Oryzias latipes: one gene and its partner. The protein of the gene in region 2 interacts with the protein of the main gene of each other region in a pairwise test. Links are inferred from orthologs where the notes say so. Each region holds a gene or a part of one and is shown on either strand. Other genes may lie near its edges.

Evidence for each region. The genes of interacting proteins can lie anywhere in the genome.
Region 1: the proteins of kpna1 (region 2) and anp32b interact in binary tests that used the Homo sapiens proteins (3 or more experiments, as listed by UniProt). The link is inferred for Oryzias latipes from reciprocal best matches to the Homo sapiens genes KPNA1 and ANP32B.

Annotation. Positions count from the first base shown.
Region 1 is NC_019859.2:16,898,561-16,901,486, forward strand, and holds part of anp32b (acidic leucine-rich nuclear phosphoprotein 32 family member B), read right to left. Parts: intron 2,385-2,926; coding exon 2,235-2,384; intron 2,159-2,234; coding exon 2,036-2,158; intron 1,014-2,035; coding exon 827-1,013; intron 737-826; coding exon 612-736; intron 525-611; coding exon 458-524; intron 1-457. UniProt on the Homo sapiens protein: Multifunctional protein that is involved in the regulation of many processes including cell proliferation, apoptosis, cell cycle progression or transcription.
Region 2 is NC_019878.2:17,885,138-17,888,892, forward strand, and holds part of kpna1 (importin subunit alpha-5), read right to left. Parts: intron 3,476-3,755; coding exon 3,312-3,475; intron 3,123-3,311; coding exon 3,044-3,122; intron 2,962-3,043; coding exon 2,836-2,961; intron 2,742-2,835; coding exon 2,614-2,741; intron 2,289-2,613; coding exon 2,113-2,288; intron 1,889-2,112; coding exon 1,701-1,888; 3' UTR 1-1,700. UniProt on the Homo sapiens protein: Functions in nuclear protein import as an adapter protein for nuclear receptor KPNB1. Binds specifically and directly to substrates containing either a simple or bipartite NLS motif.

The sequences.
Region 1 (2,926 bases), on a different chromosome or scaffold from region 2:
AAAGCTGACTTCTTTGCAGATTCCCCCTATTGTGGGTTTTTTCCCCCCCTTACTTACTTAAGCTAATTAACTGAAATTAATTAATTTGGGCGGTAGTTTAGCTCAGGCGGTAGAGCAGGTCGTCCAACAACCGAAGGGTTGGTGGATCGATTCCCGCTCTCCCCAGCCAGCTGTCGTCCCCCGAGCGAGTCTGCAGCTCACCGCTCCCCCCAGAGGGAAGAATTTCCCCATAAATAAAGTATCAATTTTATTTTTTTCTGAAATTAACGAAGGACCACTGTTGGTTTTTAAAAAATGATCATTAAGTCACATGCGTAGAAGTGTTACCTCTACATAATTACACACGTGTGGGTGAGCTTGTCCCGACATTTTAACCGATGCCCCCACTGACACATTCCACACTAACTTGTCACTTCACTTTCTGAGAGCTTTTTTTGCAATTTGCAGAGCTGCATACCCTCCTCGTCTTCATCCTCGTCTTCATCCTCGTCTTCTACTTCTCCGTCTTGACCGAACTCTTCCTCCTTAGAAGAGACAAAACCGGAGAAAGATTTCCAGAAATGCATCAGAACTGTTTGACAACATAAACCGATTGGATTTTTTTATTTTACCTCGTCTTCACCGCTGACCTCTTCGTCATCGTCTTCCCCTTCTACCTCCTCTTCATCCTCCTCGTCCTCCTCCTCCTCATCAAAGTCCTCTTCCTCTCCGTCTTCATCCTCCTCCTCTTCTCCATCTGTAAAACAACCATAAATTTTTTTAAAATACAGTTAGAAAAATATCATACATTACAAGAAAAAAAAAAAGAAAAGTGCAGACGTCCAACCTTCATCTTCATCGTCATCCACACCGTCCACCTCCCCGTCTGAATCAGAGGCTTCCCTGTCTGCTATGTCATAACCGTCCAGGTAGGTGAGCTGAGGCAGCAGCTTGAAGACGCTGTCTCTGTAGTCGTTGAGATTCGTTACTTCACAGTTGAACAGGTCCAAACTCTTCAGGTTATCCAGCTTTTTCTGTCCAACAAAAGCAAAAACATCCATGACAGTGAAACGGCAGGAGCTGCTCTAGAGATGCTGAGTCGGACTAACCAAGAGGTCCATATTTTTCAGCACTTTTAAAAACTTTGAAGGCTTTTTTAAGTCTTGTTAAGTTAAGTGTTTTCCATGATTCTGAACAGGTGGTTTCAATTGTTTCTCATTTTAAAGTTTTTTTTAACCTCACAGTTAAGATAACCTATATGCTACTTTCCTATTATTGTGTCTTTTAGATTATTCTGCATCCACCAACAGGAGGAGACAGGTTTATGATCACGTTTTTTTTATGCATTGATAGTAATGTCTACATTTTAAAATGTACCGGTACCTTTTTTTTAACTAAATAACTAGGTTAAGAATCATGGACTCAGGTATAGAATCCAAACTCAAGTAGAAGTTTAAAGTGCATTTGAAGATTTATTTAGCTATTTAGGATTTAATATTGGCAAAATCAATGGGATCCTTTCTATTGCCCCGGACTGAAAGGCAACAGTTGTAATCAGTTTTGTGACTTAAGATTGAAAAATTACGGTAGCTAATTTTTATTTAAAATAAATGAATAAATAAATAAAGGTTATTTTTCATTCAGAAAACAACATCCCTTAATTACAACGCATTAGAGTGTGGATAAGTAGATGCTATGCACAGACGCACTACAGTCTTGTTTATATAAAGGCCTTTGTCTAGGCTTAAAATTTTTAAAGCAGTTCTGAAAACTAAACCTCACTTTAAATAATAAATAAATAATCAAACAGTCCAAAATGTTTCTGAGTTTCTGCTATGTGAATGATTCTAATCGTAGATAAAGTATATCCAAGTTTTTGGGGCATTAATAATTCACAACATTGCAGGTACACTGAAAAAAAGAAAACTTTTACTTCCTAAAATATTACATCTTCACATCATTGTAATGCAGGCTTGTTGTCTAAATGCATAGGAATCAGACATATTGGGCAAACGTGTGTAACATTCTGCATCTTAGGGCACATGTGAAGACCTACCAAAGGTTCCAACGTGCTGAGGTCTTTCAATTTGTTCCCACTCAGGTTTAGATGTGTGAGGTGGGGGAGTTTCTCTGCTAAAACATCGAGGCCGCCGCTGATTCTGTTGTCGCTTAACTCCAGCTGAAAGGCAACGCAGCACATGAGCTGAATCTTCACTGAAAGGTGCAAGAGTGCGAGCGGTGTAGTCTGGGCTTACCTTTTTAAGTTTTGCTAGTTTTGGTAGGTTGGACACTGAGATTAAGCCAACGTTTATCAAACTGAGGAACTCCAGGTTGACAAACTCAGCTGTGAGCCCCTCGATTTTCCCTTCGATCGATCGACAGTTATCAAGGACGAGTTCGCGTACCTAAAAGACGTAAAAAGTAAAAAAAAACAAATTACAACTTCTTCATGCATAAATATCAGATTGTTCTGCTTTTTAAGATGCAAACATGAAAAAATAAAAAAAATTCACAGCATTCCCTTTAAGAATGCAATGTTTAGTGCAAGAAGATGGAAGACAAAAAAATTGTTTTATTTACTTAAAATCCCACCCTTATAATCTTTTGATGATGAGACCCAGTGGTCCTTTAATTATGATTGTTGTTTTTGGCCAAAAACCCCCAAAAAACCTTGTGTCGTTTTATGGGACATAGTTGCTGCAGAGCGGCAGGAAAGTCGTTAAGCCGACCCTCCTTTCCCATAATCCCTTTCTCTTTCTGCTAGCTTGCAGCCCCTCACAACCCCAACCTAACATTAGTGGTGCAACAAAAATGACGAGCAATATCGGAGCCATCCAGACTTACAGTTTTGAGCAAAATGCAATTCGGACAACAAAAACAAAGACATAAATAGATCCATTTGTCTCCAAGTGGCTGCATCAGAATGGAGCAAAGCACGGAGCCTATG
Region 2 (3,755 bases):
ACATCTTTTATGCAAATGGAATAACAGGCAACAGATGCACAAACTCAATGCAACAGTAATGAACAGAAAAATAATTTGGACATCTTTCTGATATTTCGATAAATGAAATGATAAAGAGAACTTGGTAAACAAACATTCAGTTGTGCTAACTAAGGACCACTAAGATTCTTCAAGTTTAAATTTTGTTTTGTTTGGATTATGGGAAGAATTTGTGTTCTAATCAAATTATGGCACCGTGACATGAAATAATCCCCCAATTTAAGAATAAAAGGCCTTTGATTAAAGACCGCATCACACCAAGTACCAAAAAAAAAGATTGATTTGCTGAGATTAATAAAGAAAATACTACCTCAACCTGTGCCAGAAAGTTAAATATTTTCAGGTCAACTTTTTTTCTAAGCAACTACATCTTGTCTAGTTTAGGCAGCATGATGCTCTGATTGTGACACATTTTCTACTGACAGCTTTAGTCCACAGTTACCTTGATTCCCCAACTAGAAAGCGTAAACAGTGTAAGCTAGTTTAGAGCGGGGAGGGGGGGGCACCCTCAGTACACTACCTTTTATCCCTTGCATCCAGAAGAGGGGAAGAGCAATGTTATCATCCAAATAAAAGCGAAAAAGGAAATTCCTGTCAATGAGCAAAGCAACAGGCCAGAACTAAAGTGCTGCAAATGAAACTGGTTTAGTAAAAATTCTCGCTGGTTTGCTGCTGGACTGAATCCAGGATTCTATATAGTCCGTTTTCGTCTCGTCCAAGTCCGTCCAATAGTTTCAGTGCAAGGGAAGACTCCTATTTCCCATGGTTCCATGGGTTTATTCACATCACACCAGAAGGCAGGAGGCAGTTTAAACTCGATAATGGAGCCTGTGCAGGTGAAGGTATCCCAATACTGGTTAGAGGAATGATATGAGATCCAGGAGGGAATCCAAGCAGTGTGCTTTGTTACTGCCAAGTTCTAACTCCTTGGCGAAAGTCAAGTTTTTAATTTGTCCATCCGCAATTAGAGAGAAGGGAATTCAATCTCACGCTTTGAAGTCACTTTAGTGCCTTCCAGGGAGGTCCGCCGAGCCCCGTGATCCCGCCCCAGGGGCACAGTCAAACTTGTGGTCAACATGGTGCGGTCAGTCCAGTGTTCAGGTTAGATTATTCTCTGCGCGTGAAGCTGGAGTGAGAGCGTAGATCCCGTCCAGGTATGTCTTGCAAGTCCATTAATGCTTTAGACAAGTGGTGCAGCCCAAACACTTCAACCAACTCAGAAACGAAGCAGGAAACCCGCCAAGTGTGGAGGGGATCCTCCATTTGGATGAGCACGGAAAGTAATCGAAAGAGAAATGAGTGGTGTTAGAATGTGCTAGTGGGGTATACAGGAACCGGAGCGGGTCATGAAAGGTTCAAATTCTAAGAAAGTCGGCACAACACAGAAAAATAAGCAGAACCTTCACAAACTGGCTGATTATTCTTTAGAAACTGACCCATGTCCGACGTATGCAGACACGCGTGCTCTTGTTGTCTTAAATTCTTTTTTTTTTTCTCTTTTAAATAAATGCAATTATGATTAATCCCACCTCGCTAACAGCACGTTGAGGAGCGGCTGCTGGAAGCTAACACCACCCTTGATCTTGCCAGCGGGCAGAGATTGACAGAAGTGAACATAGGTGGGAATGACGGAGGAGCTCAGGAGGAGCGAAGGGTTAACATTATAGCTGGAAGCCCTCCATCGGGGCTTCACACTGCTGGAAGAGGAACTGCTGCTGCTGCAGGTCCACGGCCGGGGCCAGAGACGGGTCTTCATCTTCACTGTTGAAGTAGCGCTCAATCAGGTCAAATGCTTTCTGGTAGATTTCCTGGTTCTCGTGACCTTGGAGGAACTCCAGCTTGTCGAGGCCTAAGAGAAATAGGAAAAGGGCTGAATGAAACTGACCGTTATTTTTGTTCATTATGACTGCTTAATAACAAAAAATAAAGATCTTTGAATGTTTAAATCTAATGCAAGAAAAAAAACTATTTTAATAAGATTTTAAAAATAAATGAAACTAATCTATATCTTATTGTGCAGAGCAATAACTTTCTTTCCAAGAATATAATTCTTTCAAAAGTGTGAACATTCACCGTAGGCCTCCTCCAGGAGGGCACAGTAAGGGTTGATTCCACCACCTCTTTTGGCTTCAATTTCTCCCAGTCGCAAGATGTTTTCAAGACCATTTAGAGCCACTTGAACTATTTTGGAATCCATTAGTGTGAGCAAATCACACAGAGGTTTTATACAACCGAGTTCCACAAGAGTCCTGCAGGGGGCAGTGCACACAGACAAGGACAGGTGTTATATCACTCAGAATAAACCTCTGAGGATCAACTGTGTTTGCGCAGCATTAGTCAGGAACCAAACATGCTTACTCAGAGCTAAAGTCTGTCTAGAGGGACTTTCAGTATGAACAGCATTTAGAAGCTTTGACTTAATTTCTTTGTAAAGAGAAGAGTCGGATAGATGCAGTTTAATTAAGTATCAAGTTTTTTTACTTTTCTAATGGCATAAATTAAGCCACAATATGTTTATTAAAAATAAATAAATCTGAATCAGCTAAATACATTGTGTTGAACTGTGCGTCTTACCTAATCTGATCTCCAGAACCTCCAGAAGTGGCATTAGTAATGGCCCATGCTGCCTCCTTTCTCGTGCGAAACTCCGCCACCTGAAGGATGTGAATGAGAGGTGGCAGCAAACCTGCATCTATTACCATCTGTGAACAAATAAACCCAGTTATTAGGTACGGTACAATAAAGTTACGCAATTACTCCCCCCAAGCCAACACGCTTGTGTCATGAAAAGCAAACCTGTATCTGTGCTCGATTCCCTGCTGTGATGTTAGAGATTGTCCAGCAAGCTTCTTTTTTAATAGATTCCTTGGGGCTGCTGAGCAGGTGAAGTAGTGACTGAAGGGCTGAGCAGTTCAGAATCACCTAGACAGACACCAATTTAAAAATGAATCTAACAATTCTAACTCAAAAGGCACTTTAGCTTAGTTTGTGAAGTTATTCTTACCTGTGTCTGCAGATCATCTCCAGTGACGATGTTTCCAACGGCCCTCAGAGCAGGGGAAACCACCTTGTAATCAGAATGCCTAGAGGGGAACCATTGATAAATTTCAAAACAATGTTCACAATAAATCCAAATCTAGCATTTCAATCCATACAAGAGGGCAAAAACATGCATGAGATTCCTCAATACTGAAAACATGCTTTTTCAACCCCAAATATCTTCATTTAAAGTCTCTGTCAAAATCTTTATTGTATTTTTATCTTTTACTTACAACAGCAGTTCCACCAGTCTGCGACAAACTCCTGAGTCAATAACAGCCTGGATTTTGTCATTTGGGCCGTCAGATAAGTAGGAGAGTGCCCAGCATGCATCAGCAAGGATGTCTGTGTCATGGACAAACAGCAGCCAAGAAAGCACGTTCAAACAGGGGGACACCTATGGAGAACATGAGAACAAGAGTAGTGAGAAATAAACAAAATTAAGCATCTTATGTCGCTCCTTTTTCAGTTCAGACCCTCCAGGACCTCACAGGCATTTTTTTTATTGTTGCGGTACAAAAAGCCTGAATTTGAAGCAGTTTTGTTAAAAGTTCTGACATTTTTCAATAATTTCCAACACAAGGCTGTAAGAGGACATACACATTTTAAAATGCTGTTTTTTTTCCAGTTGCTCTAAAGTAAAAATGTATCCAAGACTGTTTAATGTTTGCTTTTGT